3 linked regions of the Sus scrofa genome follow. The protein of the gene in region 1 purifies or fractionates together with the protein of each later gene. This does not show direct contact. Links are inferred from orthologs where the notes say so. Each region holds a gene or a part of one and is shown on either strand. Other genes may lie near its edges.

Region 1 (4,285 bases):
GGAAAAGGCTTAATGATTCCAACATCTGGCTTCCATTCTGAGCTACTTCTCAAATTGAAGAGAAGGGTGGCATTTGATTCATTCCAGGCGTAAAAGGGCTTGCAGGAAGCCAAGAAGACGCAAGTACAAGATTCTCCCCGATAACCCAACCTTGCTTAACACAGCCACGCACATGTCATCTCACTACATACACAGTGCCACCAAAGTCCCTCACAGGCTTTCCTCCTTCCAACCCTCCCCCCCAACTATCTCCAGCTTACAATCTTTCTCCACTTCTAATCTTTTCCTCTCTTTCTCACTTAGAAAATCCAGAACTAACTCCTAGAGTCAAACTCTTTCCACAGCCTCCAAGTGACATGGTGGTGTCTTCCAACCTCTCCAGCTTTGGCCCAACTTTTGAGATTTCTATTCTTTCTCATCTTTGCAACCACTCCTATCTTTACTCCATCACCCCTTCTCCTACTTTGGTCCCTCCTAACTTTCCTATTGGTCTTTACCAATGCATCTAAGACAGGGCGACATTCCACCTCATCTTCCTACTCCTCACCTCTGCCACTTCGCACGTCTCAGCCCCACCCCACCCCCCAAGCTCGCCCCGGTCCCTTGCCCCCAATCCAATCTTCTCCCCGTCCGCCCCGCGGTCGCCATCTTTCCGCGCGGCCCCGCGGCCCGCCAGCCCGCGCGCTCACCGTTCTGGCGGCGAGGCCCGTGCGCTTGTCCCACAGGAAGTCCGTGATGGCGGCGGCACTGCGGCCGGAGTCCCGGCACCCCCGCGGCGACGAAGTGCGGCTCCACCCCCCCAACCCGAGACCCTGGACCTCCCGCCTCGTTCCCGGGCTCCGTTCCAGTCCCGCCCGCCCCGGCTCCGTGCCCGCCCCCAGGATCCGCTTGGCGCCGCTCGCACCGCCCCCGCCCGGGGCCCGATCCCAGCTCGGTCTCCGGCTCTGGCCTCCCCGATCCGCCGCCGCCGCCACCGCGAGCGAGCACGTACGCACGCACGCACGTCCTGCGTCGATTCCCAGCTACCCCTAGGCTCCGCCCCCCAGGACCGCGCACGCCTTCGCGTCTTAGCGTAGCTCTCTGCTGTCCGGTGAGAGCCGAGGAGGTGCTGGGGGCGGAAGCTCATGGGGGCGGGGAGAGAGTGGAAGCGGTTTATTGGGCTCGCGCTGCCTCGCCTGGTGTTCTTCCGTATCCTTCCTCAATCTTTGACCCTTTTCGTGGGACTTATGTGGCTTGCTTTGTTAGGTTTGGAGGTTGAAAGGAAGGGGTTGTGGTTTACGGAATGTCATCGCTCCGCAAACCTTTTGAAGCCTGGTGGTGAGGTGTGAGTCTCCATCATAGCCTGTTTTTGAAACAGTTCGCCTACCAAACCACAGCAAAGAGGGGTTCCCATCTTTTGTCCTGAACAAAAGCTGGTGCACGTTCTGTATATGGGGGAGGGGGGTAATGGCTTTGGAGGAAAGGTTTGAGAAATGGAGGGGTGGAGATTCAGGTGCCAAAGAAGGGGAAATCACTTGAGAACTTTGTTATATACCTACACATAATATATGATAAGTCTAAATTTGGTGAATTAAAAAAAAAAAGCAGAAGACGAGAAAAACTGGGTAGAGTTACAGATGTTATAGAAGGAATTGAGCAGTAATTAGGAAAATGAAAAATAACCTGAGGATAACTATATTCAAGTAAAGAAACAGAGAGGAGTCAGGGTGGAGGATAGTCAGAAGGAATTTTTCATCAGTTGGCCAGAAATGGTTTAGGAAAAGTTTCTTGAAATAGAAGCTGAAGGGTAATGAAGGGGTGGAGAGGAAAGTGAACCTCACTTCCTTCTCCGTGTACACTTTCCCTCGTTCATTCAAAAAGCATTTATTAAGTTCCTACTCTGTCCAGCACTGTGCCAGGCTCAAGGCTCCTGTTCTTCAGAGCTTCATAGTATAATGGGAAAGACCTGTAAACAAATAATGGCAGCCTTGTGCTAAGAGCTGTTATGAACAGTGGTGCCCTGGCCACTGTAAGAAAGCTCTAGACTACAACCCTAGCTTGGGAAAGGAGAGTTATAAATGTGTTTCTAGGTTTCCTAGAGGAGATGACATCTGAACCAATGGATGGAAAGTGAATTGGAGGAGAGTGCTAGGCAGAGAAAGTATTTACAAAAGTCTGGAGACAAAGCAAAATGAAGTGTTTAAACAGAATTGGAGTCCTGGCTTTCAAGAGAGGGACTATCAGAAGGGAGGTTGTTGAAAAGAGAGGTCTAAATTTTGCAGGGCCTTGTGTTGTCATTCTAAGGAATTTAACCGTAATCCTATAGAACACTAAGAAGTTTGAAGGATATTAAGCAAGTGAGATAGCTACATTTAGATTTAGGAAGTTAACTCTGGAAGGAGAATTGGCCTGAGAGTTGAGAGACCTATTTAGACGCTTCTGAAATAATCTGGGTGAAAAAATGCTGAGGGCTTGAAATAAGTCGGAGGCAATAAGAAATGGAGATAAAGGGAAGAATTTACTTCACATACTACTGTAATTTACCTGTTCTGTTTGCGGGCGTAGACGAGCAGTGCCTTTATGGCTAGGGCTTTGTATTCATCCTTGTATCCTCAGCGGTCGCTCAGTGATGGGCCGAGTTGCTTGTGGTGAAGGTGGCAGATGAATTCAGAAATGAAATACTCGGGGGAGCAGTAACGAGGAGATCCTTAAGAATATGCCTAGGAGAGTGCTGAGAGAAAAAAAAAAGTGAAATGCAGGAAGTCCGTAAGCGTTAGGAAGGAGAATCCCCAAAGAATCCCTGCCTCTTCCATTGGTTCCCAATTCCTCGCCCTCCGGAGCCATACGAACTACAACCGGCGTCCGGTTTTCCCGCGGATCTCAGGCGGCTCCGCCTCCCCGGCACTCCGTGGTCAAAGGCACCGCAGCTCTAGGCCACGCCCTCTTGGCACTGGCCGCGTTCTCCTACGCTCCCTGCACCTGAGGGACCGCCCACATTGGCTAAGCCACACCCACCTCGGTATCCCTCCGGTTACAGGCTTTATTGGCTCCGCCCCCTCCCGGGAGGTCTCTCGGTGGCCCCACCTCCGCCCGCCCTGCCCAGCCTTCCCGCAACTCTCGCCAGGGGGCGCAGCGCAACCCCCCTGCCACCCGCGGCAGAGTCTGTCGCACACACCCCCTCCGCCGGCGCGCCGGCAGTTCCTAGCCGACTACGCCTCCGCTCAGAGCCAGCCCGGCTGCTCCCGCTCCGACTCCGGAAAGGGTCGGGGGTCCCGAATGGCCGCGGCAGGGTATAGGAGGCCAAACGTGTAGGCCGACAGGCGTCATGGAGGCGGAGCAGCGGCCGCCGACTGGGACCAGCGACGGGGCGACCCCTGGACTGGAGGCGGCGCCTCCTGCTGCCCCGGCGTCTACGACCACGGCCTCCGGTCCGATCCCTGGGTCCGGGCCCGGGCCTGAGCCCAAGAGGAGGCAGCTCGGGACGCTGCTCCAGCCTACGGTCAACAAGTTCTCCCTTCGTGTGTTCGGCAGCCACAAAGCAGTGGAAATCGAGCAGGAGCGGGTCAAGTCAGCGGGGGCCTGGATCATCCATCCCTACAGCGACTTCCGGTACTGAGGGTCCGGCAGGGAGGGCGGGGGACACAGGTCCTACCTCCACGGGCCGGGGCACGGGGCCGGGCCAGCCCCACCCTCCACAGACACTTCATTTCCGGCCCAGGGGTCCCTTGGGGGGCCGACAGTCACTTCCCCCAACCTAGCCCGGGAATTCTTGGGCAAAGGGTCCCCAGCTGGAGATCCTGGCTGACTTCTTAGGCTGGGGGCGCTGGAAGGGACAAGCAGATTAACAGAGACCTGGATTTCCCATTTCAGGAACCCGGCACCCCACCTGGACCACAGGGAATACAGGAACTAGGGACCGCTGCCTCCTCCAGTCCTGCTTGCTGGGGATCTGGGAAATTTTATCATATTTCAAGGCTCAGGGTCAATCTGAGGGAGAAACCGAACTCTGCTATCTCCCACCGACCCCATTCCCGTCCCCAGCACCTGCCTAGTTCAGCAGGGCAGGCGACCAGGGAAAATAGGGACGCTGGGGGTGGGGGAGGGGGTGTCCAGACAACAGCTCTGATCGCTGTCCCTGGTGCTGAAGGAGGAATTCGGCCGGGCAGGGCCGAGACTCAAAAGTGATTTGAGGCAGCCACGCAGGAGCACGGCCACCGCCCAGGTGACCACCAGAGAGAAGGGACGAAGAGAGGGGGTGGGGCTATTCCACAGTCCCCATCAGGCTGTACCTCCACATCAAGGTCGC
Region 2 (3,646 bases), on another chromosome or scaffold:
AGCCTCCTGAGCCAAGGGCTGGCAGAAAGAATTTAAAGGTGTCTTTGGTAAAGATAGGTCTTTATGCAGGGTAATCCATCTCCAGGGAGTTTCAGACTTTTCAACCACTGTATGGAGCTCAAGCAGAGCCTGTTTCTTCTCCAAACAGGGCTTTTGCCTTAGGGACTCTGCCAAGGACCAGAATCTTCCAAACTTGCTTTTGAGCAAGTTTCTGCCCCAAATACTCAGTGGGAGAAAGGCTGTGGACAGAGCAAAAAGGGGAAGACAGAGCAAAAAGAGGAATAAAGTATTTTTAGACTTAAGTGCTTATTTCTGGAAAAACTAAGACCTACCACCCTTCTAAAGGGAAGGGCAGGAACCCTCTTAATGAAATCCCTTTCTCCCATCCACCCCCCAGCCCCGTTTGTGTCGTCTAACCAAGTCTCCTTGGTCTCCGTTAAGGGCCAGCCTGACCCCTAGCTGGGCCGCTCTCGATGGGTAAGTTAGTGAGAAAAAAAAAAAAAAAGTTTTAATTAAAACAGGAAAAACATGAACCAAATAAATAAATAAATCCAATAAAGAAATCAGAAAAAAAAGATAAAGAAAAAATTAAAATAAAAGATTTTAAAAAGAAGGGAAAGAAGAAAATAAAGAGGAAAATAAACTAGGAATATGACAAATGTTCCAGGTACCATCTCACACCTGGGATCTTCAGTTCAGCCAATCGCACCTCACTGTGTACTGTATCTAGTCAACCGCCGGTCCAATCAGAATGAGCCCTCCCTGCTAGGCGCTGTGCAATTGGTGGGGGGTTGGGTTGGCAAAAAAGGTGGGCGCACGGCGTGGTGGTCAGCACGGCACAGCCAGAGTCCTCCCAGGGGCGCAGGGGGGGCGGGAGGGAAACGTGTGGGGGGACGCTGCCCAGTTTCCATGATGTCAAGACAGTTCACTGGCGGTGGCCAGGCTCAGCGAGGGGTACGGGGGGAAAAGGGGCAGAGACATCAGTCCTGGCCCTGTAGGGGCATCATCTTGCAGTCCCTGATGAGATGGCCTCTGAGTAGCAGGAATGGTCCTGGCCTTTTATCGTGAGAAGCAGGCAGGACCCTATGTCCACCAGTGGCAAGCTGCAGCAATACCACCACCCAATACTTGGAATCCAGGTGATGACTCCAGAGTCCCTTTCTCCTCTGCCTGTAACTTGGGGAGGGGGTCCTCTCACCGAGTGGGATCATGGAGCCGCTGTTGAAGGCAGCCTGGGGTAGTAGGTGGATAGCCCCAGGACCTGGCACACATTCAGCAGCAAGGTCACAATACTTTTCTTCTGAGAGTGGTGTGTGGCATCTCCTCAGGGACTCCAGCTGAGACAGTGGTTCCAGTCAGGTGGATGGATGAGCCCCTGCCTCCAGGGATGGAGGAGAAGCTGGAGCAACCAACATGCTGCCCTTCACCATGGACAACAGGGACCAAAGGAAAGTCCATCTGATGAGCAAGTGGTGATACATGGCTGGGCTGTCATCAGCATTAAATCCCTGGGCTCAGACCCTAGACTTCTCTGCAGGGTTCCTAGTCGTCACAGCTTAAGCCGAGAGCCCCACTCGGTATTTTACAGCATGGCACTGTGATCACAAAGATTGACTCTTTAGGAGGTCTTGGTGCCCTAGATGGGGATCCCAACAGTCTGTAGCAAACAAGGCAACCCACAGTCCTCAAAAGGGCAAGGGCATATGAGCAGGCGCCCCAGCACTGACACAAGCTCTTCTTGGGGTGTCCCAAAGAGGGAGATGATGCAAGTCCACCCCTTTCCAAATGCTTTTTGCTTTCTCAATACAAGTCTCTCCAGAACAGTGCTCTTCTTGGCCCCCTGATGTAAGCAAGGCAGGGAGGCAAAAGGGGGCCCATCACAGGATCCCATACACATGCCCCCCTCTGGCCAAGACACCTGGATAGCAGACTCAGCTCTGACTGGGCAGCTCAGTAGCAGCGGGTGGGTCCAGAGGAAGAGGCGGCATCAGCGATTGGCCAGTTGGGCAGGGTTATATTTTACGGGCGGATTACCGTACATGAGGTACTTGGACAAAGTTTTACGGGGAAGAAGGACCTTGTAATAAATAATATTCTGCACATCAAATCACTTTCACCGGCCCCCACCCCCGCAACACACACCAAAGAAAGGCTACACACACAACAGTCCCTCCCACCCTGTTACCCTACTCCCAAACCCAGCTAATCCATTCTCTAATTACTTTAAGAGCCAAGAAGACTTCGCTGGCTCTGACGGGGGGAGTCCCCTGAATTGGGTGCAGGACACACTACATACGCCAAAAAGTAGAGGGGTCACAAAAATGGGGAAGGGGCCTTCAGGTGGTGGCTTCTAAGTAGCTACATCTCTGCAACGAGACCACTGGGGGGCAGATGAGGAACAAAAATTCCTCAGCATGGTGGTCAGCTGAGAACCACCAAAGCCCACTAGATGGCGTTGAGCTCCAACACACTTTTAAAAAGGAGGGAAAGCTAAAGGGGTTAACACAGGGAGAAGCTAGAAAAGGTGGCAGGGAAAGCTGAGCCTGGGTTTTAGATAAAGGGTTTTAGATAACTTTCCCAGTGATTACAAACTTCCAAGACTCTGCACTGCATTACTTTCCCAACAAGGAAAGGGGAATGAATGAGCCCTGTCCCCATCACAAGGGGTCTCCCTTACTAAACCAGCGAATTCTCCCTTGGCCCTATCCTGATCCAAGTCTTTGCCTAGTCCCTTCTTTAAGCTATCCCACTGTGTAAGAGGGATCACCAGAGTGGTCTACTCTTTCCCCCAGGTCCACTCCTGCCCACCCACCCGAGCAGGTGGCTTGAATATTTACCTCTTTCTTCTCCTCATCCTCTGCACTGCCCTCTGGGCGGTCATCATTGCTGACTTGGTCTGCAATAGGCATGGGGGGCTCTGGAACCTCATTTTCAGGTCTGTTTTCACTTGTGTCCATGGTCACTTCCTCCTTCTCCTCACTGTCAGTATGGGGTGAGGTTGAGAGGGAAGGGCAGGAAAGAACCAAGGGGAAGAGAGAACAAGACGTTAGGTTTTAGGTCAAGGAAACTCCCATGCCTCATCACTTGGGTGGGATTGGGAGGGCTGCTTTTCAGATCAGACTAGAGACCTTGCCCCCATCTTCCTCAGGGAAAGAGCACAGATCACAGCAACCACATCCACTCACTGCCCAGATGGGATAAAGCTGTGGCATGTGGGGTTGGGACTCCAACTGTTCTGAGGTAATTCGCCAGAGTACCCTTATATGAAGAGGAGAGACACATCTCTCCGAAAACAGTCCCTCAGAAGTGACTGTGATTTGCCCACAACCCCAGGGCCTCCCTAGCCCTTGGCCACAGGCACCTTTATTTAACCAAATTGCATGAGAAACTAAGGGAAGTCCGATTCCTTAAAAAGACGAGAAAGAACAACGAGGGCTGTGGCAAATGATCCCAACCTTGTGTTTAATCAACTGCTTAGTAAGTAAAGTCTGCTGACCAACGGGATCTGGACACACCAGGAATGGAGAAATGGTGGGGGCAGGGCTGCAGGGAGAGCAGGGCTGGTGAGGGGGTAAGCTTCAACAAGGACCCTCTCTAATCCAAAAGGAAAAATGAAAACTGCCGGACATAGTATGAAAGCTCAAAG
Region 3 (2,796 bases), on another chromosome or scaffold:
AAAATCCTACTTATAAAAATATCTGAAGGAGCTAGGGACTTGGCAGAAGGTCTAAGGTGTTTCTTGTCGTGATCAGGTTCAAGGTGTCATGTATGTGGATGGGAAACCCTAAGTCATCACCAGGGCAACTGTGGCAGGGAGGATCCAATGTCCCACAGAGGCAAGAGATACTAACCTGCCATCAGGAAGAGAGAAGCTGGTTCCCCCATCCAGCCCCAGTTCCTACAAAATACCTAGCACTTTCCTTCAAGTTCCCTCAACTTCTAACCAACTGAACATCAAAGGGAAGAAAACATAAAGCCCAAGACACAGAAGGGAAGTGGGGAGAGAAAACACAAGTAAACTTGTGCCAACATCCTGCGCACACAAACCTGGAGTACTCCAGAAATTAGGACGGGGGTCTGGGGTATGAGGGAAGGAAATAGAAGAGTTCCTGAGGCCTGAAAAAAGAGGTAAACACGTCACAGAACTACATGAGAGTTTCATTAGACTCTAACTAAAAACAGAGAGAGGTGTGATTACTATTTCCAGCCAGTTTCCCCATCACGATAGTCATGTAACAAACCAAGGCAATGTCGGTCTTGAGCCAGACTCACAGAGTCCCCTGGCCCTGGCCCTGGCCTCAGTACAGTGTCTCTGCATTGCTGCTCCGGGGCCGTTTGATCTTCTCGATGTTTTTCAGGATCATGTCATGTAGAGTGACCTGGGAGAAGACGGATCAGGGAATCACACGTCTGTTCTACCCCCACCTGCCTAGGGAAACAAGACAAACCCCCAAAGCCCCCAGCAATCGTTCACATAGCCCTGATCTCACTCGCTTGAACCTGAATTCAGGGTAGCTGCCCTATGACCTCTCTTATTCCCCCAACTGGGCACACCTGGGTATCTCCAAGGCCCCAAGTGTCCAATAACTAACACTTACTAAGCATTTAACACACTAAGAATTGCACCGGGTTCTTTAATGTGTCAGAGATGAAGAAATTGAAGCTTGAGGTTAAACCTGCCCAAGGCCACACATTACAGGCAGAATTGGTTCCAAACCCAAGGCTGACTCTCACACCCCCAGCTTCACCCCTATACTGTACTGCATATCGTGCTCCCTCCCAGCCAGGTACAAAGAAAGGATACCCGGCTAGATACCGTCAGTGACCCCAGAGTTCTCAACACCCGGTTGATGGGAGGAATTTGTTCCACTCATTTTACCTCCATCTCTCATCTCAACCCCCAGAGAGTGGCAAGAAAACGATCACCAGAACCAAGAGAAGCCAGAGCACCTGTGGGCGGGGACCAAGGTTACTTACATACTGATTCCTTAGCTCTGATATGATGAGCCGAAGGCTGATATATTCTTTCTCATCAATCTCTGTCACGGTGCGCCGATAGTCCTCCTGACGAAGGGCAGAGAAAAGGCTAGTCCTCGAGGGCTGACTGTCCCACGCAGCTCTTCCCAGGAAGGCATGCCTCCCTGTCCTACCACTTCCACCCTCGGCCACAAACCCTTACTTACCACATGGGGGTATTTAGCTATTTTAGAAACCAATTTGGCTCTTGTAATATAATATCTGGAAGGAGAGAGAAGAGGAGAAAGCTGCAGGGGACCCCAGACAGCGCATGCCATCTCACCAGCCCTCAATTCCTGGGCCAAGTCCAAGCAGCCCTACCTAGAAATCTGGTCCAGATAAGAAGCTGCTTCACTCTCAACAGTTCTTAATTCTGCAACTGTCTCTTCCTGAAAAAAAAAAACAAAACAAAAAGGTTAAAAGCCACTTCCACATCACCCCACAGCAAACCAAAGAGAAAGGGAAAACACAAAAGCAGGGGAGATGAGATTACCTCCCAAACCTTCCTCTCCCATTTCCAATGCAAGCACATTACCTGAATGGACACCCCAAAGTTGTTCCCATCTTCTATCCTAGGAATCAGGAGTTGTACCCACATTTTGACCTGAAGGGTGAGGGGACCAAAATATGCATATGAGGATCTTAGCCTTTTCTACTTAAGCCAAGACATATACAACTCATGCTGCTGGGGCCAGATGCCAGGAGCACAGGAGTCAAGATAATTAGTCTGCCAACTCCAACATCACCTCCACGCCTCTGGCCCCACATCCATTGTCTTGCATAGCTCAAGCCAGGCTATTTGGGGTCAGCCCCTAGGTCATCAGCCCCTGCCTCACCGTGTTGCATTTCTCGATCAGCAGCCGAATCTCAGGCTTCACTTTCTCAATAATGTCCACCAGCTGCTGGTTGCTTTTTAGCATCCCATTGGGCATCACAAACACCTTGGTTCCTGGCAAGGACACGAGGAAGGTCAAATGACTGGAGCTGGGTGGAAGGAGGCAGCATTCCCCACCTTTCTCTCTTTCCTAGACCCGTGAGATACTATGACCTCTACCTTTGTTCCTGGCCATGCCTGTGGCATGTGGAAGATCCTGGGCTCCACAGTAGCGACCTGAGCCACAACAGTGACAATACCGGATCCTTAACCCACTGCGCCACAAGGAAAAGCTTATGACTTCTGCCTTTTATCTGTCACAAAGCTATCTATAAACCGTGACACCACCAACAGAATTAAAAAAAGAGAGAATATGGGGATTAACAGATGAGTGTCTAAAACATCCGGAAAGTCTAAAGAACAAGATTAAAATATGCTCTACAGACTTAACGCACCAAGCATTATTGAAGAGGAAAAAATGATATGAACTGGGGTTTTGCGAAAAATCTGTGATGTGTAGCCACCTCCAACCTCTCCCTTGGTAGTTCACATTAAGTCCAACCCTCCCTGTTAAATGGAAAA

The links.
Region 2: the proteins of CLK2 (region 1) and ACIN1 purify together in Homo sapiens (affinity purification with mass spectrometry; 3 studies listed by BioGRID and IntAct, counting the BioPlex papers as one, with this or other methods). This does not show direct contact. The link is inferred for Sus scrofa from reciprocal best matches to the Homo sapiens genes CLK2 and ACIN1.
Region 3: the proteins of CLK2 (region 1) and PSME3 purify together in Homo sapiens (affinity purification with mass spectrometry; 3 studies listed by BioGRID and IntAct, with this or other methods). This does not show direct contact. The link is inferred for Sus scrofa from reciprocal best matches to the Homo sapiens genes CLK2 and PSME3.

The regions. Positions count from the first base shown.
Region 1 is NC_010446.5:94,556,866-94,561,150, reverse strand, and holds the start of CLK2 (dual specificity protein kinase CLK2), read right to left. Parts: upstream 2,867-4,285; 5' UTR 2,524-2,866; exon of another isoform or gene 1,046-2,523; intron 991-1,045; exon of another isoform or gene 690-990; intron 1-689. Other genes in the region: HCN3 (potassium/sodium hyperpolarization-activated cyclic nucleotide-gated channel 3), read left to right, coding at 3,305-3,588. UniProt on the Homo sapiens protein: Dual specificity kinase acting on both serine/threonine and tyrosine-containing substrates. Phosphorylates serine- and arginine-rich (SR) proteins of the spliceosomal complex.
Region 2 is NC_010449.5:75,978,687-75,982,332, reverse strand, and holds part of ACIN1 (apoptotic chromatin condensation inducer in the nucleus), read right to left. Parts: intron 2,980-3,646; coding exon 2,838-2,979; exon of another isoform or gene 1-2,837.
Region 3 is NC_010454.4:20,029,627-20,032,422, forward strand, and holds the end of PSME3 (proteasome activator complex subunit 3), read right to left. Parts: intron 2,290-2,796; coding exon 2,177-2,289; intron 1,945-2,176; coding exon 1,876-1,944; intron 1,730-1,875; coding exon 1,662-1,729; intron 1,563-1,661; coding exon 1,508-1,562; intron 1,389-1,507; coding exon 1,302-1,388; intron 704-1,301; coding exon 623-703; 3' UTR 571-622; downstream 1-570. UniProt on the Homo sapiens protein: Subunit of the 11S REG-gamma (also called PA28-gamma) proteasome regulator, a doughnut-shaped homoheptamer which associates with the proteasome. 11S REG-gamma activates the trypsin-like catalytic subunit of the proteasome but inhibits the chymotrypsin-like and postglutamyl-preferring (PGPH) subunits.